3 linked regions of the Struthio camelus genome follow. The protein of the gene in region 2 interacts with the protein of the main gene of each other region in a biochemical or structural test. Links are inferred from orthologs where the notes say so. Each region holds a gene or a part of one and is shown on either strand. Other genes may lie near its edges.

Region 1 (7,552 bases), on a different chromosome or scaffold from region 2:
AACTGGAGAGGGAAGGAGTCATTCCAAATGCTAGAAAAGGCTGCTGTGGTTGTAACGAGGAACTCTAATCTGTGAAGAGATGCTTAACAGACTACTGAACAATTTCATGCAGCTTCACAGAGAAGCCAAATAATGTCGCGTAACATCTTGATTTAAGACAAGTGACAAAGCCATAGTATCTTTGACTAACACATAGAAATAGGACACTTTCAGGCTCCGAGTCCCTTCATCAAAACTGACCTCTTTTTCCAAATGCATCAGCTGGTCCAACTTAAAAAAAAAAAAAATAGTAGTGCCATCTTTGCTATTTTGCCTTCCTTGATTCTTTATCCGTACCCTGGGGACACAGAAAGCCTAATGAACAGGATATTTTTAAAATTAACTCTAGGCCCCTTAATCTTTACCAGCTTAAGCTAAACGGGAACTGTTTTTGGAGCACACTGTGCTCAGTACAGTCTTGTGGATGTGGATGGTTTTACTGAATTCTATGGGACCAGTCACCTATTTAAAATTGAAAATATGCCTTAAAATTTTCCACCACTGGATGCTGATCTTCTCATTTCGAGCTTCTCTTTTTGAATAAAACAGGAAAAAGGTCATGTTCACCTCTCAGCCCTGCCTGAATGAATCAGAGAAGGTTCAAGCTGTAACTGTTGGGAAACAATTATCAAATCTCTACCTCCCCAAGACTCTGCCCTGAGAGCTTTAGCTGGAACATACAGCTCTTCATTGTTCCTCAAGAAACCAGGAGTTTAATAATAAAAGCACTGACAGGAAGCTTCACTTTGTCAGAACGTATTGCGTGCGATGGGAAAAGCAGTTACCTCAACACAGGTACTCCTTCAGCCAGCCTTTCTCAAGAAGCTCTGTGGAAGAACAGTACAGGAACATGTCAGAACAGTCCCACAGTAGCTGCAACCTACTTTCAGTTTCTGAAATTGCTGCCAAAAACCAGTGTCTCTGCCCTATGCAATAACATATTTCTAATTTTTCTGCTCAAAGCTGCACACTTTTGTTTTTAGTTTGCAGTCCGCTTTTAAGAATTTCTGATACATGCAGATTTAAAAAGGTACAGTCCATGGACTAGATTTTTGTATGAGTAAAAGGAAATCTTTGTACCGCTCAGCCACAAAACACTTAATGTATCTGCTCGCTCATATTGCATAACTACCAAGATAAATAGCTATCTGCAGCTGTTACTAGCAGTGTCTTGTATCTGAGACCCTGAGGTAGGAAATGTTTACTGAACTGGCCTAGTGACAACAAAGAAATCGGAAAACAGGCATTTCCAATTTGTTCGAGGTTTGCACCGCATCATGTTTGGAAACCCAGATGTTTTACTTAGAACAGACAAAGGAAACTGCATTTTATTTCTGGAGGTCACCAGAAAAAAAAAAAAAAGACACCACCTCTGTGGAATGCAGCTTTTAAGAAATGACAGCTCTGGGAACGTTTCCTCACGGGTACACAGCTCCTCAAGCACAACAGCCCCCCCGCCCCAAAACACGCGTGAAACTCCTCTTTTAACAATAGCCACGTTTTTTAAACGTGAGCGAAGTTAAGCCCAGGACGGCGCTGGCCGGGGCGAGCTCCGCGGCCGCAGGGCCCGTTCCCGCACGGCAACGCCGCGCCGCCGCCCCCGGCAGCCGTGTCGCGGCGGGCAGCGCCCGGCCCCGGCCCTTCCCCTTCCCCCGGCGATGCTGCATCATCGGCCCGGGCCGGGCCGCGCTGCCCCGCCGCGGCCCCCACTCACCTGCGCGATGCGCCGCGCCTCGGGCTCGGCGACGGCGCTAGGCCGCGCCCTCCGGCCCGGCCCAGCCCGGCCCGGTCCGGCGGCGGCGCCCCGAGCAGCGCGGCGAGGCGGCGGCGGCGGCGGCGCCAGCCCGGGGGAGGGGCCGGGGGCCGGGCCGCGGCGGAGGCGGCCCCGGCGGAGGCATTTCCGTGCCCCTCACGGGCGGTGGCAGCGCGTAACGGGCGGCGGCGGCGCCGCCGGAGGAGCCCCCGCTCGGCAGGGCACGCGGGCATCATTTTAAGCCGTTTCCCCCTCTCCCCCAAATAACTACGCCCCGATTTCTCGTCGCAGCTGTTCTACCACCGCCGCCCCCGGGCGCGGGCTTCTTGCCTGCCTTCAGCTGATGTGCGGCACCGCCGCACCTCCACCGCCACGGTTCGGCGGCCAAAAAATACGACATAAAAAATAAAATCTCAGTTTGGCAGCAGAGGCGAAGTTGCCCCCGCGCTTCAGCGCAGCCAGGGTTTGACCCCGGCTAAGGGGGGGGGGGGGGGGAGAAGAAACGTACTGTTCCAACCAGCGGGGAGGTTTACAAAACAGAGGCTATGTGACAACACGTACTTGTAAAAACACCTTTTATCCGAGCCTTCGGCACGCCGCAAAGATAACAGTTACTACACTGCGCCTAGCACGGAGCCGGCCCCGTCCTGCAGAGCGCCGAGCCGCGCCTCAGCCTGCGAAAGCCAACGCCAGCAGGGCGCTGCCACGAACCAAGCCGCCCTTGGGACTTAAAATCACCTTTAACAGCGAGACCCTGCTTGTCATGAGTTTCCCTTCCCCCCCCCCCCCCCCCCAGGCGGCGAAGCCCGACGAGAAGCCAAACTCGCCCGCCGCCCGCTCCAGCGTTGCCAACGGCCGCACGGCGCGGTACGGACGCCGCCACACGGGGCGGACTCGGGGTCCGCTACCTCCACTCGAAGCGGGGACAAGTCTGGGGGGGGGGGTGAGCGGCGAAGTGAGACAAAACGTGGCCAAAACCTGGAAGGGGGTTGAGGCGGCCTCTCCGCCAAACCCCACGGAGCCCCCAGAGTGGAAAACGCCGTGAGGTGAATAGCTGGGGGGGGGGAGGCGGCCAGGCGGCGCCGCGCCGGTCACAGCCGGCCTGGGGGGGGGGAGCAGCGACGCCTCGCAGCTCCTGCTGTAACTCACCTCTCCGAAAGCCTCTCAGCGGTGGCCAGAGGGGGGGGGGCGCCGCTGAAGACGGATATCAGAATATATATGTGTCTGCGTGTGTGTATCTATGTCCCTCTCTCTCTCTCTATACCGGCACAGGGGGAGGGCGCCCCTGCCCTCAGCGCCTCAGGGCAGGCGGCGACCGCCGGCTTCGGCGCCGCCCTGTGACGCCGTCGCCGCGCGCCCTGCGCCGGGCAGCGGACGGGGGCAGCGCGGCGCCATGCCGGCCAAGAAGTCCTTCCGCCGCCGCCGGGCGGGCTCCGAGGAGGAGGAGGAGGACGAGCAGGTGGCCGAGGAGGTCAGGTGGGTCGGGAGCCCGTTGCGGCCGCGGGGGGACGCGCCGGCGGCTTGTAACATGGCGGCCGGGGCGTCGCTGACAGGAGAGGAGCCCCGCGCCCGGGCGCTGCCACCGGCGGGGCTCCCCCGGCCACGCAGGACAGGCCGAGTGTCCCCGTGGGCGGGGTGGGAGGGACGCAGACCAGCGCAGCTGCGTGGAAGGGGCTTGCGTCGTGTCGCGCCGTCGTGTCGCGCCGTCGTGTCGCATCGCATCATCCTATCGCGTTGTCCTATTGCATCATCGTGTCACGCCATCGCGACGCATCATTGCCGTGTACTGTCGCGTCACATCATCACGTCGCGCCGTCGTGTCGTGTCGCGCTGTCGTGTCGTGTCGCGCCGTCCTGTCACGTTGTCCTGTCGCGTCGTCATGTCACGCCATCGCGTCGCATCATCGCCGTACGCTGTCACGTCACGTTATCACGTCGCCTCATCGTGTCGTGTTGTCGTGTCGCGTCGTCCTGCCGCATTGTCGCGTCAAGCCATCGTGTCACATCATCGCCATACACTGTCGCATCACATCATGGCGTCGCGCTGCCGTGTCACACTGTCATATCACATCATCGCGCTACACTGCCACCTCGTGCCGTCGCGGCGCGGCGTCGCCTCGTGCCCGTCGCGGCGTCGCCTCACAGCGCGATGGACCGGCGCGCAGGCCTGCGGCGCCACCGTCCTTTGCGTCGCTGCCGGAGCTGAGCCCCCCGGCCGGGCGCTGGCAGGGCCGCGATGCAGGGACATCCCGGTGGTGCTGGCGACGCTCCCTTCGCCCTGCAGTGCAGGGGGGGTCTGTACTTGGCAGGGGCTCCGGCCGCGCTGAGAAGCGTTAGGCCCGCTCTGGTGGGTGTGTTACAGCTTTAATATTTGTTGTCCAACCTTTGCTTTGCTGCCAGCTGTTCCCGTCTGGCTTCTCCCTTCCTTTGAGACGTTCCAGACAAGAAAACGGTTGCATTTGTAGTTTGTCAACCCAATTAGTCAAGACAACCGGAGAGGCCGTACTTTAAGGGAATGGGAGCCAGCTAGAACAGTATCCAGTCACTGTTGACTAACACAGACTCTCCTGAGGCCTCTCCCTTGGCACCAGCCCTCTTGCTGTCTTTGTGCGCCATTTTTACGCGTTACTTCTCTTCCACTTCTACCATTTGGAAATGGGCGCTCACTGATAGTCCGTTTTATTTTCAGATCTTTGCATTCCACGCAAGATTTTTCTTGTTATTTTATCTCTGAAAAATATTTTATGATGCATATTTCATGGTAGATATTGAAAGTATGTATGATTAAGGGAGATTGAAATATCTGAAGAAATTAAGAATGCATGTAAGTCCATATATAGACATCCATATATTGATACTTAACAATGCAACTTTTTTCTGAGCCATTCCCGTAGCGGTGTGTTTTGATGACCACTCAGTTTTTCTACATTCACTTGAAGCTGCTGCTAGTTTCGCTCTAATCAGCTGCTTCATTAGTTGCCCCTTCCTCTGAGAAATGACTGTGTTATTTTATTAGCTAATGTGAAATGTTGGAGGATTGAAAGGGTCCCACGCTTATTTAATGAAATTCTGATTTGGTGACCCTCTTTGTTTTACTCTGAGGAAAATACTGGCTGGGGATCTTAACAGACTAAGTACAGGAACAATAATGCTTGGCTCTTTCTTCCCATATTGGCCTCAAATTAAAGTCTTTCAGTGTTTGGATGCTTCTTTCCTCAGCTGAGGGAAGATATGTTGAAGGGACATATCCCGGTAGGTGCCACGTGGTTCTTCTGATTGCTTAAATAAATGGAATTGCTTAAATAAAATGAAATGGAAAATATACGTCATTCTAATCTGTAACCAGAAAAGTGGACACTCATATGCAGAGGTTTAGGGCAAAGTCTGTCTGGAAGTTCCTGTGTTAAGTGCAGAAAATGTTGATTCTTAATTAAACCCAAAGCATAAAGTCCTAAGCTGAATGTTTTTTTCTCCAGGTTAAAACTTGAGGAAGCCAAAGAAGTTCAGAGCCTCAGAAAACGACCCAATGGGGTGAGGTAAGGGATATAGTACGAAGGAGGTGAACTTGTGTTTTGTCTGATGGCGTAACGTAACAGTAAACTTCTCTGCTGTTATTTGCCTTCTTTCAGTAGAAATAGCTACCTGGCCAACAGCACCAAAAGTGTGTTTTAGGCAGAGGACTTCTTATATTAAAGCCTGAAGATGGAAAAGAGGGTATATTAGGTATAGTGACACAGCGTGCAAATCTGGTCTATATCCCAGCCATGAAGAAAAAGATTAAGATTGGGATTTAACATGAATTGTCTTCTTATCAAATTACCACATTGCCTTGCTTTTGCCCTCTACGTTGAATCATGTCATCAGAGATTTGCTGTATTGGCCACTTCATCTGTACTGTACATATTACAGAGTGATACAGGGTTTACACTGGACTGTCTCACATCTCTTCTGTCCTAAATTCCCTCTCCCCTTTCTCATCTAGTGCCACTGACTGGTGAGTTGAAATGTGCACCAGCAATGAGCTCTGTTCCTTATTCTGGTGACTCACTGTAAGTCACTTAAATCTGTCTGCCTTAACTTCTTACCTCTCAGAGACAGTCATAGTTCCTCTATCCATAGAGCGGGATTAGGAAGCCTGACAGTTTTGTATTACTAAAGCGTTTGAGGCTGTCTGATAGATTTAGAGAAAAGTAAAAAAACACAGTAGTGTTGGTAATATTTTCCTTCTACTGAATTTTATTTACCTTCTGTATCTGGTTGACTAGTGCTGCAGCTCTGCTTGTTGGGGAGAAGCTGCAAGAAGAAGCAACGCTTGTGGTAAGTGCTAGATTCTTTTCATCACCTCAGTTTCACATAGTGATGTGAAAACATCAGTGTGGTCCAGTGGACAGGACCACACTGTGAGTCCAGTCGGGGATAGGACTGATGGTCACATCTTAAAACCTGTAAGTTTTCTGTGTTTTTATCCAGATTTTGAAGACTAGCCTAAAACTAGAGGAACGCTTCAGGATTTCTCATTTCATGTTTTACAGGATGACCCATTTAAGATAAAATCTGGTGGGATGGTGGACATGAAGAAGCTGAAAGAACGGGGCAAGGACAAGTGGGTGTATATGAGCTCCGAAAACCTTTTTTGGACTGGTCTCTAATCACAGCTACTAGTGAATTAACCAAATGATGCATTGTTTTGAAGAATAATATAACTGTATCAATTATATTATTATAACAATATATTATGTATTATATTATGCAGTTATGTTCACTATATATTGTCATTAATTATATTATTATAATATCAATATAACGCAGCTTGGCTAGTTACCCTTATCGTAATATGTCAAATTAGTTTATAAAACAACTGTTACATTGTGATTTCCATTTAGGATTAATGAAGAGGAAGATCTGAACTTGGGAACTTCCTTCTCAGCTGAAACCAACAGGCGAGATGAAGACGCTGACATGTAAGTTGTTCTGCGTTGTGTCTGTGGTGCTGAATCTGGACCTGTGATCCTCTCACAGGTTTTTTTTGTTGTTGTTGTTTTTTTTCCCCCCTTCTGTCTTGGACAGTAAGAGTTCCCAAAACATCTTCCTCCTCCTTCCTGAAACTTTCATTTACTGTTGCACCTTCTGGCTGCCAGACTGGAGAAGGCTGTTTCTTGAACAAAGCTGGGAGGTGCTGACCAGCCAGCTAGCATGGTGGCATCATGGCATTATATACCAGTGGTGGCCTTCTCTGCTGGTTGTGGCAGACCTTGGAGGATCTGATCTTTTCTTGGACAGAGTAGCAAATGTTTTACTTGTTGCAGTTTATATTAGCTGAGTGGTTTTGGAGTGATTATTCATTCCTCTCCCCTAGCTGCTGTGATAGTGATGCAGCTGTGCTCAGCAGTGCTGGAACAGAGTACAGAAAACATAACTAAATACCACGTGTCCCTTGTGTGCTGGTGTTCAGGATGAAGTACATTGAGACTGAGCTGAAGAAGAGGAAGGGGATTGTGGAGAATGAGGAACAGAAGGTGAAGCTTAAGAATGCCGAGGACTCTCTGTACGAGCTGCCAGAGAACATCCGTGTCTCCTCTGCCAAGAAGACTGAAGAGATGCTGTCCAACCAGATGCTGAGTGGCATTCCTGAAGTGGACCTGGGAATTGAGTATGTAGTTCACGGATCCGTTAGTTATGGCCTGAATTGCCAGAGAGTCCTGTGACTAGAAACTGTTGATTGGCAAGGCAGTGGCATATCTGGATTATACATCCTCAGCTT
Region 2 (7,716 bases):
AGAGAGATGATCCATTAATCCCGTGCTAATTAGTCTGAAGTAGTGCAGGCACTGACCTCCTGCAAGAGATTAAATGACAACTATATTTACCCATTTTCCTTCTTCAGTATTGACAAGTTTTGTAAACAGCCGTGGCAACACTGACCTAGGCCAGTTTTGACAAAAGGAGATCAAAGTTACATCATCTTCCCTGAAATCTTTTAAGAAGTAACTTTAAACAGAATAAGCTAAAAGCTGCTTTCTCATTTGAAGCCAGGCTTCCCTGCAAGTCACACCGATTTTATCATGATTCTGGCCTAATCAGCCCAGGCAGGGTTAAATAAGCTGTTACTCTTGATTTCTTCTACCATGTGTTGATCATGTACAGCTTACCCTCAACCAAGTTGCTTCAGACAGGAAGTAGTTTTACAAAACTAAAAGAGGATCTACTCCTACTTTAGAAGTCAGAGAGTACCTACCACACCATACATCAGTATGCTAGACGCTGAAAGCAATCCCCCCACTAACTACCTTAAAATCTTCTTCTGACGTTTGTCTGGAATTGCATCTTCATGTCAGTAAACTTTCCTATTGCACCGAAATTAACACTACTTCGATTACACCAAGGGTTTGATCACAGATATGGTAGATAACATACACTGGACCGCTTTGGTCAAGAAATACATCTCGCAGACATTTTATGGAAGAAGAGCCACAGAATAAGATAGAATTAGGAAAACGCCACATGCGTAATAAGGCCAATATTGAACGGCAGACTGTTTGAAAAATCAGCGCTCACCCTTCCAGAAAGTATCAACCGTAAGCCCTTAAAAACAAAACAGACTCACGCCAAACACTACAACTCGTCACTAGGAAAAGACCTGCCGCAAGCGCGCTGGCGGGCAGGGTCGGAAGCCCACGCGTGCTGTCACACCTCCGTGCCATCGCGATTCCAAGTCACTTCCACGCCTAGAGCCCCGCAGCTGCGCTTACGGCAATGCCCTATCTGCCCTGGCGAGGGGAAGGCGCCCGGCAGCCCCAACACCAAACTTCTGCTGTTTGCGACCCGCCCGCCAAGTTTCGCGGCCAAGTTCCTCTCCGGCGGGGGGAGCCGGGCCGGGCCGGGCCGAGCGGCGGGTCAGAGCCGGCCTGCAGCGCGGCCCCGCTCCGCGCCCAGGCCGCGCCGGCTGCGGCAGCTCCCGCCGGGCCGCGGCCTCCTCCGCGCTGCGCCCGGCCCGGCCCCGCCGCCCTTCGCGCCTGACAGGGCCGGCGGCGCCCGCGCCCCGCCAGGCCGCGCCCGCCCTCGGCCCGGCCCGGCCCGGCCCGCCCGCGGCTCTCACCGGGTCCCAGCGCTTCCATGGCGGCGGCGGCCTCGCTGCGGTCCCCGCCGGCCCCGACGACCGCCCCGGGCCCCGCCGCCGGCCCCGCCGCCGCCGCGTAACGCTTGATCTCGGGAATATTGGCTGCGGGGTGAGGGGGGGGGGTGGCGGAACGGGACGCGGCGGCGGCGGGGAGCGGTCTACCGCGCTGCGCTCGGCCGAGCGGCGGCGCAAACAATCCCCCCGCTGCGCTGCGCTGCCGCCGAGCCCGCGCGCGCCGCCGCCGCCGCCGCGCGCCACCCCCCCCTTCCCCGCGCGCGCGCGCGCGCACGCGAGCGAGCAGGAGCCGCCGGAGGAGAAGGAGGACGAAGAGGCGCCTCCACGCTGGCCGGCGCCGCGGGCACGCGCGCGCACGCGCTCCGCCCCCTGGCGCCGGGGGCGCGCACGCCCGCACCCCTTCGACGCCGGCGCGGCAACAGGTGAGGGGCGGCGCCGGCGGCCGCTTCCCGCGCGCGGGGGGGGCGGCGCCCTCGCAGCGCCGCCCTGACGGGGCCGCCCCCGCCATGACAGCGCCGCCCTGACGGGGCCGCCCCCGCCATGACAGCAGCGCCGCCCCCGGCCCCCACCCCGTGTATTTGGGGGCATTTTGTCAGAAATCAGCAGGTTTTCCCCCGCACTCTGCCCTCGGAGGTGGAACTCAGCCCCCCCCTCCCCTTTTTGGCATCTCTGCGCAGTAAAGCTCCTTTACTGACTGCACGGGTGTATTTACTCAGGTCCTTTTATTAGAGAACTTCCTTTTTTCCCTCTCTCTCTCCTCTCCTTCCAGAATTTCACAGGTTGAAGAATTAGCCCTCCGACCACCCGAAGCTTGGAAATAGTGACACTGCGTCTCTCAAACTCTGCGTTTATCTTCCATTGCAAAATACAGCGCCTAAACCCCACAGCCCGCGGTAACGACTTCCTCCGCTCTTCCCGTCCCCCACCCCCGAAACGGGGAACTCGCCTAACTTAATTACACCCGGTATAACTTCCTACACCAGCGAAACAGCAGTAATTCTGGTTAAAATACCTGAAAAAAATAACGTGTAAAAGTCACCGTGAACGGCTGCAAATTTTAATGCCCTTCAGGGCTGTAAGCAGGGCCAACACTTCCACTAACAAATTTTGTGGGCGAAAAATGTGTAGTAAGTGCGATAGGCTTGTTTGCCAGGGCTAATGATCGGTGTCTACCCAGCAGCTAACAGCTGACGCAGAGATCAATAATAACCATGGGATGTCACTCAGGCACCTTCTGAAAAAGTACTGTGGTAGGGAATTAGCTGGTTTGGTTATTAAGCCAGCTAGTTTGGTTATTAAACTCTTGGTGCACCTTTCAGGACTCACACCGTACACCCATTTTTGGGCTTGTTTTGGTCAACCTCTCTTCCCCCTTCCATCAGGGAAGATCCCACGGGCTGGTTTCAACCAGCACTGGCAACGGGGTGGGCTCACAGACAATAACTTTGGTAGGCTTTATTTTATTATTAGTTTTAATTAACAGCCAGGGAGAGGCCCTTAAAGTAGAGCCCTTGCTGCAGAAGCAACCGCTAGACCCTCTGTCTTGCATAGCCGCAGGAGGGATCTCATAAGGCTGAGGATACGCCTTGGGAGAGAAAGGGGCTGACGGACGCTGGATTTCAGATGTTTAGGTCGCGGAGGACACAGCGTGCAGGAACCTAAAATCAAGGGTCCTGCCAGCGCTCTGCTTGCTGAGATGCTCCTAGACATGCAGTGCAACCCAGTAGTTTTGATTTTGTTACCTGCAGTTTAACACAGTTTGTCTCTGCTTTTTCAGCCCAGGGGTTACTGATGCTTTGCCTTTTAAGAAGCTTTGCTATTTTAGTGAACGGCTTCCTTGCACATCCCACTTTTCTCTTGCTACCATTGAGTTCTGTTAAGTCAACAATTCTCAGCTGACTCACAAGTAGGTCAGAAGTCAAAACATTCTGTAAATAATAAATGCTGTGTCCATTTTATTTGCTTTTTTTTAAACCTGCAACATTTATTTTTTCAAGACCTTCTCTACAAGTAGAAGCATCAAAAACCTTTTAAAAGAAAATCAAATCTGCAGGTCTCATAACTGCCTGACACTAGCTGAATATTTGAGGGAAACACCAGCGTTACAAGACTTGTAAAAAAAAAAAAAACCCATGCTGGCCAGCAACATTTCTATGCTATTATTCAGCATACATATGTGTGCATAGTGCTATTTAAACAGTACTTAAAAAACAAATACACAATCTCTGCCTCATGGAATCTGCAGTACAAAGGCTTGGTCCTGTAAGATGCTGAATATGACAAAAGAAGCCTGTATTTAACGCATGAAAAGCTTAAAAAAAAAAAGCAGAAAAGCAATTAACCTGATAAATAAGTATAAGTTGCGGCATCCTGACAGCCAAAGTGGTCAGGACCTTATTTCTGAAAGTTCTCCCACCCTTATGCTGAAAACATCTACATTCATTTTATTTCCTTTCTCTTTTACATCTTTTACATCTACTTTTACATCTACTTAGGCAGGTTACCTGAGAGACGGTATCTTAACCATATTCATTAATGATGTTTTTGCAGTGCCAGCAGCTGCCTCTCCCGTTACTAAATACCGCCACAGAAACCAGCATTGCGTTGTGACGCCTGCAGTAAGCCTCAGGGGCGTTTGCTTTTCTCACTTCTCCATTCTAGGATGTGTGGGCTAGATGGGAACTATCATAGCAGATTAGCCCATCTGTTCAGCATCCCCCGCAGCACTGCGATGGATAACAACTACTTCAGAGTATATACTTTTTTCCCCCTTCCCCTCCCGGGTTTGCCTTCATGGGCGGACAGCAGGTTCCTGTTTGCACTTCGCGGGATGCTCCGGCGCTCCGGTGCGAGCGCTTATCCGTACTCACCCGCCCGGCAGCGGGAAGGCCGGTACACCCCCACTCCTAACCGCCGCCGGACGCGCGGGGGCAGGCCCACGCCGACGCGGCTCTGCCCCCGCAGCGGGCTCGCCACGCCACCCCCGCGGCCCGGCAAGGCCCTCTCGCTCCGGGCCCACGGCCCGGCCCGCCGCCACCGTCAGGGCACCTCGCACCGCCACGGCGGCCAGAGCGGCTGGCAGCGCACCCCTCCAACCACCCCGCGGCCAACGAGTCACTCCAAGGTTCTGACAGCAGGGGGAGGGGGCTGCCCAATGGCGGGCTTATAGGGCGTGCAAAGCCTTGAAGGGAGAGCCACGATTGGGCGAGGCGAGGGGAGGCGGGACTTCGCGGGAAATCGTCCAATAAAGCTCGCAGGGGGCGGGGCTGTCAGGGCAGCTCTAAGTGCCGATTGGTTGGCCCCAGAGGCGGGGCGGGCCTTGGGCAGCGCGCGAAGACTCGAAGCGGTTTCCTACCCGGCTGGGCGGCCGGAGGGTTTGTGTGGCGCCGGGCCGCGGGTGCCGGGGTGGGCGCTCGGGCTGAGCTATGGCGGCGGCTCCTGGTGAGGTGAGTTCCGCTGCTCTGTGCGGCCGGCCAGCGGCGGCCCGCTGCCTTCCCGTGGGCTTGGTGCTCCTCTGGTCGCGGCGGGGAGGCCGGCGGGGACGGGCAGCGAGTGAGGCGGCAGTGTCCTCTCGATTACCGGAGCGCGCCGGCGGCTTCGCGCCTTCGCCGGACTCGCCTCCCCCGTACCTCGGACGGACTACGCTTCCCAGCGTGCCCTGCGGAGGCTCATTCCACTTAGCGCGGGCGGTGCATGCTGGGAAGTTGGTTGCCCTGTCGGGGGGCGGGTGCGGTGCATGCTGGGAAGGCTGGTGCCCGTTCCGGGCGCGGTGCGTGCTGGGAGAGGCGCTGCGGCCTAGGCGGCACCGCCGTCACCGGGGGCGGCCGGTGAGGGCCGGCCCCGGCGGCTGCGGGCCCCGGGCGGCCGGGGCCGGCACGGAGCGGGGCCGGCCCTGAGCGAAGCGTCGCGGGGCCCGCGTGTGCGGGGCCAGCACCCTTCTCCCTCCGGCCTGCGTCGCCGTGCGCGGCCCCCGCGCCTCGTCTCAGGGCTGCTTTCTAGAGAGCACCCACAAGCGTCTGGTCCCTCCCCCTGCACTGTGTAAAATGCCGCTTTCGGAGATGAAATTTCAAAGTTTCTCATCAATTACTTCATTCTAGTAATTTTGAGTAATGTCAGTAGAGATCTTCCAGTATGTTCTTTTTTTTCCTTGTGCAAGCTCACATTAAACATATTTAAAAGCCAATAAAGGTTGATGTTGCATAATTCCCCTCCGTGTAAAGGTGAATTAATTCTTAATAATATGTGTGCATATATTCCTATGTAAAGAGTTAGCCAAGGTCTTGGACTAAGTTAAACTGCATGAGTCATTACTACATAAACAACACTTACCATATTAAGGATGATTTTACTTTGCTTTGTAGTTTCACTTAGAAGATTTGAAATCAGACTTGCAGAAAACCACTGATAGTGATTCTGACAGTGGACAGGGCAGCTGTGAAACAGGCTCTCCAGGTCACCTCAACAAGGAGAGAGCATCTCTTGATGACAGAGGTCTGTAATATTTCTGTAAATCGTGCCTGGAGGTGATTGTCTTCAATAGTGAAAGTTGAGACTACATGATCTTTGACCTTCTGAAAGTTGCGTGTTTTTGTTGCACCTGTATGAATCCAAACTGCCCTTTTGGCCGCTAAGAATGCGGGCAGACAGATATCTGAAAACATCAGAAAACCAGTTCTTGAGGTTCAAAAAGATAAATGGGATGTGAATATCTTAATTGCTTATTTTCTTTCTTTTTTTGATTTGCTTAATCTACCAAGGGCAACATGATATGCACTTATTTAGTTACTGTATTTTTATTTTTATTTTAGGGGCTGTTACTAATTATTTGTGAATGGTCTTTAGCTTTTTTAAGTCTAAAAACCTATAGCATCAGTTTGGGTCAATTATGTATTGCATGATAGGAAACAAGTGGATTTTGAATTCAAGTTATTTTGCTATAATTGTTGAAATCTGTGAAATTTAGTAGGCTTATATGTAGGCTGTATTTAAGTGATTGCTTATTAATGGAGTTCACCTCTCTATAACATGCATCCCTTTTTTAATATATTTTGTCAGATTCAGAGGAAGAGATTTTTCTAAGTAAAAAAACAAAAAGCAAAAGGTTGCTTCGGGATAGTGAAAGTGAACATGAAGAAGATAGTGGCTCTTCTAAAAAGAATGATACTCTGGGTGGAGTCATGGAAAATGGAGAGGAAAAGGAGAACATTACTGCCCAGAAGAACAAAAAATCTCATCGAGTTCGCCAAGGTCTGCTGGATAGTGAGGACAGTGACACTGGTGACCGATTGCAAGTTGAAAACTTTGAAACGAGCAAAAAGTCGGACTTTCCTGAGAATGAGTTGGGAGAGGAGAGACCCCTAAAATCTGGGAAAAAATACAGAAAACATAAACATGATTTTGAAGAAGAGACAGCCAAAAAATCTATAGGAAAACCAAGGAGAAAAAAGGAGAAAGAAAGAAGGACTGAATCCATTAAGCAACTGAAAAAAGAAAAGAAACCTAGAGCAGAGGTATATATTTTTGGCAGAAAATCCCAAATGGTTTCCCAACTAAGTTAAATTCTATTTCTGCGCTTGCTTACTGTGTTTCAATGTTTCAGCATCACTTGTGTCCACATTACTACAGCAGGCATTGTGTCCACAGAGGTCTATAGTTCTGCTATATAGAGATAGCAGTTTTATTTACAGAGAAAGTACAAATCCTAGCACTCAATGATTTAACATCAGTGCATGTGAAGTCAGGCAGGGATGATGATAATGGGTGTCCTCTTGAGAAAGAAGGGGTTGAGGAGAGGAGTGTTGATAGGAGTCTATTTTAGTTTGGTAATTCTGTAATCTTGAAAGTGATGTGTTATGCTTCAGATTTTTCCCTTATCCTGCTTGTCAGCAATAGTTAGATGACATCAAGATTTCTCTTTACCTCCTTGCAATTATAAGGCTGTAACATCACAAGATGGAAGCAGATCATGCTGACTAATGGCATCAGTTCAAATTGAGTGGCAGTAGAAACACTGGGAAAAAAAAAATATTTTTGGGGATAATAATGATAAACATTTTTTTGGGATAATAATGATGTTCATTGTTGCTATTTATAAAATATTTGAAGTATTAATTTATTCTGTCTAAGTGGTCTTGCTCTTTAGTAGCTCTTCAAAGTCCCTATATGTTATAGTTGTAGGAAACGTTGTTCTGTAAATTAGTTTATCAACTTCGCAGTGCTATAAAGTGAATGTGACCAGCTCACAGGACACAAAGATGTTACAGTACCGGTGACATAAACCTTTTTTAACTTCTTATCATCAAGACCTTTTACCAGTAGTCTTAAATTAATTTTAAAGGCTGAAGAGGTACTTCTGAAATGA
Region 3 (7,072 bases), on a different chromosome or scaffold from region 2:
GTGTTCAGGTGGAACTTCCTGTGGTTCAGTTTGTGCCCGTTGCCTCTTGTCCTGTCGCTGGGTGCCATGGAGAAGAGGCTGGCCCCATCCTCTTGACACCCTCCCTTCAGATACTTGCACACATTGATCAGATCCTCTCTCAGTCTTCTCTTCTCCAGGCTGAACAGGCCCAGCTCTCGCAGCCTTTCTTCAGAGGAGAGATGCTCCAGTCCCCTCATCATCTGTGTAGCCCTCCGCTGGACTCTCTCCAGTAGGGCCATGTCATAACAATGCTCTTTTGTTTAAATCCATGTGAATCCTGCAACTCACTGATTTTTGATGGGGGGGAAGGAAGAGAGAAATACAAAAAGAGCTAAAATCCAGTGCTCATGAGTGCACTCTGTAAGTAGGATTTTTAAGTTATTATATTTTATATAAAATATATAACAGAAGAGGAGCAAGCTGACAGCTGCTACCAAAGGTAAGACCACTCGCTGTAACCCAGCATTGACCAATGTGTTAACCTCAACTTTTTAAACTTAACACCCTTTTTACAAACATCCACTAAAAGAAAAAAAATACCTAGTGCTGACAATAGATGTCAGCAGCATCTCCAGCTAACAAACACTTGATTGTGCCAGTGACCTGGGCAACGTGCATTTAGCCTTGTTTCCAGTAAAAGGTCACAGATTGCATGTGTCTCTGCAGAGTAAGCGATACGTTGCTTTTTTAGCAACAAGGACCTGCGGTAACGTAGCCTGCCCAACCTAAAATTTTCCTCACAAGTGAATTCTAGTTGCTTCTTCCAACTGCAAGATATTTCTGCCTTTTACATTCTGGTTGGAGCTAACTGCATCCACTAGCTAATATGATTCGACAGATGCTGTTGTGCCTCTCTCTGAGCTCAGGTCCGGTTGGTTACCAGCACTATCTGGTGGGGTTCAGTAGAAGATCCCAGAATTCTTCCCTGCTCCTGAGAAATGCAAAAAAAGGTTTCTTCCCTTTTCACAACTCTCAGACCTCCAACATGTAGGATATTCTGTGTACAGTCCAAATTATTTTTATGACCCTTGAAGGTGAGAATGTCACAGCCCTGAGGGCCCCACCCACACCCCCATGTGTAGAAGGTGCAGGAGCTCCTTTTTAGCTCAGCTTGGGGCAACTTAGACCTTTCCAGGGCAATGCTTCTCCAGTCCTGTCTTCTGGATAGATATACACTGTAAGCAGCCAATTGCTTGTCCTGGCTCCTGGATGAATTTTGGACCATAAAGCCGATGTGCACACTGCCAGCTGTTTGGGGAAGGCAGGCAAAGAAGAAAAACGGGGAAGAGTAGGACATGGAGATGGGTAGAAAGTCGCAGGAAGTTCATTGCTGGAATGATTGGTTAGTGGATTCTCTTGAATGCTCCAAAACCAGCTGTAAAAATAACAAAAATACTGTGCTTAGAAAGGGTAAATACTAGTGCTTGGAAATTAGAAGCTAAGAAATCCTATCTGTTCCTCTCTGCTTTCTGACCCCATTGGATTTACGCCACTTAGATTCCGCCTGCAAAACATCTCCTGAAGTATCTCAGTGTTGAAATTAGACCCTAAGAGGCTAGATTTCTGAAGGTCCCAATATTTTGGGAGACTCAGGTGACAAAAACACCTTTGGCTAGGCAATGCAGCTGGAGTGAGTAACAGGACACGACCCCATCCTTTAGGGTCGTAATGCGAGATGATTGCAAAATTAATTACAAAATTAATGTGAGATGATTACAAAATGCTGCAGCTTCATAGCATTTCACAAGCTTTTCCTGGTAGATTTGTCTTGCCACTGCATCAGAAAAAAAGATTTTTTTTTCCCCCTGTGTGTAGGATGAGCTTTCTGCTCCCAACGGGACAGATCTGACCGGAAAGAGATTGGTCCTCCTGTTATTCCAGACAAGGCCATGCAGGGGAGGCAGCTGTTCGGCGAGGCGAGCAGATGTCTGTGCCATAAGGAGTGGACGGAGGGGAGGTATTTATGCATTGAGGAGAGCGGGCCATCAGCTGTCGAGTTGCCACGGTCCCACCGTGCCATGGGAAATCCAACTGCCCCGGCACTTCTGCCGAAACCGCTGAGCTCACAGCATCCCCTGGGTGAAGATTTTCTCCGCCAAGCGTGCTGACGGTTCTGTCTCCAGATTCCACTTTATTGGGAAAAGTCTCAGAAGTCAGAAAATTGCCTGAAAGCTATTGTCAGACTACGTTGGACTATAGCATGTATAACATGCTGGTTCTTACTCCTCTAAATAAAGCCTCCCTGCTGCAGACGCTGCCGTTTTGAGTTTTTTTGGCATAAGGAGGCAGTATCTGAAACACAAGATGCCCTCTTCTCTTTTATTAATTTCTGTAAATGTGAAGCTTACAGTGGCCTTTTGTGTATGGAACTACATATCCTCCCCCTCCCGCTTTGGAACGAAAGATCATCGGGGTTTATTTCCATCGGGGAAAAACGAATGAGACCTTGGTGCAATCCTATTGCTCTGTGTGCATGAAGGGCAGAAGGCTGCTGCTCTGCTTTCAGACCCCCTGCTTCTTTCAGGCAGGACCCAGAAAATATTCTTTCTTACGCTTTTCTCAGGAGACTCAGTCTCTGGCTGTTCCTCTTTGCACACAAGTGTCCAGCGTTCCTCAAAACGATGCAAGGTAATTTTGCGTTTGCTTTTGGCCTGCAGGGCAACCCTGCTGCCCACATTGCTCAGACTCTAACTCTGCTTGTGTTTGGCTAGTGCCTCCCGTCGACAGAATAACTAAACAGGCGCTTCATTGTCTTTTCTCTCTCCCCTGAACAAAGGGTTATTGTTATGCCCACCAGCTTCAACCGATCACCCCACAGCAATAAAACGGTCCGTCTCAACTGGAGATGTTTCCTTTACTGTATTCAGCAATTTCAAAAAAAAAAGAAGCAAGGAGTTTCCTTTCTGTAGTAATAATGTGCCCAGGAATCGGTGCTAACGTTTACCTGCCTCAATTGGAGAGGGTAACCCTAGTGTCTGCCGCTATTCCAGTCGGATGGTCCTAACCAGCCTGACACGCTCCTACGTCAGCTGCACGCTGCAAATACACAACAAAAGAGAAGGAGCAAACAAAAAGGTGAAACACAAGTTTTTAACCAAACTCTGCTGTATTGCTACTTAACTACACCACTCCAGGAGAATTTACAAGCCCAGCGCTGGGAATATGAGACGGTAAGGAAGAGATATCCCTTCAACTCTTCAGTTCTTGATCTAAACAAAAATTCCCAGGCCATTTTAAAAATTAATCCGCAGCTAACTCCTAGCAGATGCTACGTGCCGATGACTTGTTACGTCCTGGTCTAGAGCTCAGCTGCTGCGGTCAGCTAACGAGAGTGCTTCATCAGCTCAAGGACTAGCGAGCTGCCCGGCAGGAACGAAGGTTTTCCGCACCAGACCCGCGGAAAGGCTGCTATGCAAATACCACACGCAGTTTTTAAAACGCTTTCAAAGAATGCTGGAATTGTGAAGAAACCTGGAAAACCCGGCTGGTGCGGAAACGTAGAGTTCCGGCTCCAAAAAAAAAGGGGGGGGGCAGGAAAGCATATAAACATTGAGCTGACGGCCCCCAGCACCCTTCTGCTTCTGGAGCGTAGCGTTTCCTCAGCGGCGGCCCTTCTGCAGGGCGCAACGATTCCCGAGGCTGCTTTCCGCCTGCCGCCGCCGCGCTACGGACTCCGTGCGGCGGCGCCGCGGCCCCGGGAGGCGCCGGGCCACGAACCTCCCGCTGCCGAGCGCCCGCAACGGCCGTTTTATCCGGCTGCGGTTCCCCAGCCGCGCAGCGGCGCCGGGGCCGGGGCGGCGGACAGGGAGGCCCGGGCGGCGCCGCTTCCGCGTAGCAACGGAACGCGGTTGCTAGGGCGAGCCCGGCGCGGCGGCGCCCCGGAAGCGGTTGCGGGCGGCGCGGCGGCTTCGGCCGGGTGCTGCCATAGGGCGGCGCGCGCGGCGGGGGCGGGGCGGCGGGCGAGCGCTTCCGGGTCGGCGGCCTCCCCGCGGAGCGGCGGAGGAGGGCGGAGCCGCCGGCGGGGCGCGGAGAGCAGCGGCGGGGCCCGGCCCGGCCCGGCCCAGCCCAGCCGAGCCGCCGGCCGCGGAGCCCAGCCGAGCGCCGCCGGAGCCAGGTACGGCCGCCTTGCCGGCGAGCTACGGTGCGGGGCCGCCGCGCCGGGGCGGTGCCGAGCCGAGCGCCCCCGCTTCGGCCCGGGGCGGTGCGAGCGGGGCCGGCGGCGGCGGCGGGTGTCACGGCGGGACGCGGCCCCCCCCCCCCCGCCTCGAAGCGGCGCCCTGCGGAGCCGGGCTGCGGGGCGCGGCGGCCGCCGAGCGCGGGGCGGGCTGGGCTCGCCTCGCCTCGCCGCCAGGCCGAGCTGCGGCGGCGCCGGCGCCCCCCGCGCTGCAGCCGCCCCCGGGGGCGCGGGGGGGCGGCCTGGGCCTGCCCGGCGCCCCGGCGGCCTTCCCGGTGCCCCCGCGGAGGCGGCCGGCCCCGCGGCGGTTGTGGATTGTTTTTTTTTGGGGGGGGGGCGCTTATCTGTTATTAGCTGGTTTCTCAGAAACGCAGATGCCGTGATGTGGTTAGAAGGGGTGGAAACCTGTGTAAGCGGCATGGGCTTAAAAACGTTGCTCTTAGCTACGGGCACAGCCAAAGTCCCTGGGCACGTAGCACGTCGTCTGCCAAAAAACGAGTTTTAGCGCTGGTATTTGAGCAGGAACTTTTTAAAATCCTAATCCTAGTCCCTCCTCTAAGGGAAAAAAAGGCTGTAGGTGACAGTAAGCACTTTTATAACTTCTTTATGTGTGTGAAACGTATCCCCCCTTATCCATCTGCAAGATGTGGCGTTTGTCACGGTATCGCACTTTATGCGCCAGGGATAGTTTGACTCTTGTCTTGTCCAGGGTACTCGCAGGATTTTTGTCTTCTGCTCAGGATCTGTTTCACTGAGAGGAATAAAAGCAGACAGCTGTTCTCTTCAGCCTTTCTCAACGGTGGCTTGATTTTTCAATTTACATGAACTGATCTATATGGATTTCAAGCTCATTGTTAATGTTTGCTGCCTCCTGTGCCCTAACTTTATATGATCTTTTGCACCTTCCCCGTTTCTCATATCAGTTTCAGATTTTCAGATTGGCCTAGTTGAAGTCACACTGTCATGGGTGTGATCTCAGACTTGTGTGTGTGTGTGGTTTTTTTTTTTTTTTTTAATCAGTGACCTAATGCATATGTGTAACCGGCTTATGCTGCCACTCCCCGAGCTCCTTGGTACTTGCCTTTTTCCTTTCTTAGTTCCCCAGCTCCTGGCTTTTATTTACATACAAAATAAACCACCTTTTCTACATCTCTGTTTTGGAGTGTTAGGTTTTTTCTTTAACACTGTGTTTGTAAATTGGTCTCTGTCAGCCTGCTGGGAAGAGGATGATGGGTGGACTGAAAAGAGTAAGCTTTGTTCCCGTTTTGAAGCTTTTATCAAATATCGGCGGTGCTTTCCCACAGATGCGTTCCAACGTACAGAGAGTGTCTTTAAGCTGCAAGTTTAGAGAGACTGCTTTCTTAAGGCTGTAAAAGCTGTGTCCGTCAGTTGCTGAAGTTTTGGAAGTGTCGCCTATGCAGTCAAATATTAATGCTGGAATTTAGTTTTATTACTGGAATTTAGTTTCATTACGTGAGCTGTCGCTATTGTAAAGAGAGATAAAGAACGTTCTTCATCTGAAGCCCTGCTGATATTAGAGCTCTTTCGGCCAGGAATGAACTGGAGATACTGCCGCTGACAAATACGAGTTAGAGTGCTTGTATGGGGAAGGTCACCACTGGCAAGATGCAACTAGGTGAGAAAGGATCTTGATTTTAAATGTCATGGTATTTGGAAACGGGCAATTCTGTCTTAATAATTAAAAAAATGTCTACTTAGAAAGCTCGGGAGGTAGTGGTGGGGCTGTGCTAAACCATAACTGAAATTTCTAAGGAGCCGGAAGGTATGTTTCCATTGCAGGTTTACAGTATGTCTTGTACTGGGGTCCGGCTCTGTATCCTTGTTCCAGGAATTTATATATATGAAGAGAAGCTAGACCTGATGCTATCAAGAAATATAGGTCAGAGCTTATGTGCAATGTCTAGCTCTAAAGTACAGTTAGACTCTTAACAGCATTCTCGCAAGTAAGACCTGGAAATTCTCTGTTCTGGCTGTAGAAGTTTCTGCTCCTAGTGTAGTGGTACCCGGTGCAGGTGGCATTGAAACCCTTTGGCAGAAATACTGCTATCTGTTGAAATAATAGACTGCCAGCTTGATGAAGTCAGTGCTTTACACTTAAGTTTGGCATAAATATCTAAACTTTGCAACTATGCAACTCTTTCTCCAGACACTGCCTGCCTTGACATTCCTTTTTCTGAACTCAGCGAAGAGTCCAGCTGGAGACTTGTTCTGAAGAGCAGTTGGGTCGCAAAGACGAGGCACAGCTTTTTACACTGGAAGGCTGTAGTGGCATATTTTCAATGGCTTGTCCATGCTGCTTTAGGACAGTCTGGATTTCTTGCTAGGTTGATCTGTTATCCTCCAGCTGTAGTGATTGGAACTTGCTTCAAATTCTGCTGACTGTGGCCAGTACATACCTATTTGTTCTTGTGCCAGTGTTGTCCTTCATAAAAATAGCTTTTCTCTCCTTCAGTGCTTTCAGCAAGCCCTCCGTTTCCCCCCTTGGCTCCTTATTTTCAAACTATGCAGGTTAACCTTGTCGTTTCTCTTTTCCTGATCATCTCTCGTGCTGCTCTGTGCCTGTGTTTGCATAAACTAATCCCTGAACATAACTGACCAGGCAGGACCCAGACTGCTGAAGGAGCTCTCGCTAGGATGTTTCTGAAGTCTGTGTCCTTGTCTTGTTTTGCTCCATCCATATTTTTCTTCTTTGGAAGTTTTTATGCTGTTCTGGTCCTCTGTATTGACAAGACTTCAACTTCTTTTGCCAAAGTAACTGCTGGAAAATATTCTGGCAAGAGTGATCCAGCAGACAGGTTCACACAACTCCATCACAAGAGGAATTATTAGCTGGATGAGATCGTAAGTACAACCTAG

The links.
Region 1: of the proteins of CLSPN (region 2) and USP20, one has a biochemical effect on the other in vitro, tested with the Homo sapiens proteins (2 studies listed by BioGRID, with this or other methods). The link is inferred for Struthio camelus from reciprocal best matches to the Homo sapiens genes CLSPN and USP20.
Region 3: of the proteins of CLSPN (region 2) and CSNK1G1, one has a biochemical effect on the other in vitro, tested with the Homo sapiens proteins (2 studies listed by BioGRID). The link is inferred for Struthio camelus from reciprocal best matches to the Homo sapiens genes CLSPN and CSNK1G1.

What each region holds. Positions count from the first base shown.
Region 1 is NC_090961.1:6,705,388-6,712,939, forward strand, and holds the start of USP20 (ubiquitin carboxyl-terminal hydrolase 20), read right to left. Parts: upstream 3,065-7,552; 5' UTR 2,942-3,064; intron 2,660-2,941; coding exon of another isoform or gene 2,556-2,659; exon of another isoform or gene 1,968-2,555; intron 1,866-1,967; exon of another isoform or gene 1,754-1,865; intron 867-1,753; 5' UTR 825-866; intron 338-824; exon of another isoform or gene 241-337; intron 1-240. Other genes in the region: C20H9orf78 (splicing factor C9orf78 homolog), read left to right, coding at 2,556-2,659, 3,065-3,268, 5,268-5,327, 6,057-6,108, 6,324-6,394, 6,675-6,752, 7,244-7,441.
Region 2 is NC_090964.1:10,022,905-10,030,620, reverse strand, and holds the start of CLSPN (claspin), read left to right. Parts: upstream 1-4,658; 5' UTR 4,659-4,780; coding exon 4,781-4,801; exon of another isoform or gene 4,802-5,039; intron 5,040-5,716; coding exon 5,717-5,846; intron 5,847-6,410; coding exon 6,411-6,865; intron 6,866-7,716. Other genes in the region: AGO4 (protein argonaute-4), read right to left, coding at 828-924.
Region 3 is NC_090953.1:25,509,367-25,516,438, reverse strand, and holds the start of CSNK1G1 (casein kinase I), read left to right. Parts: upstream 1-4,016; 5' UTR 4,017-4,135; intron 4,136-7,072.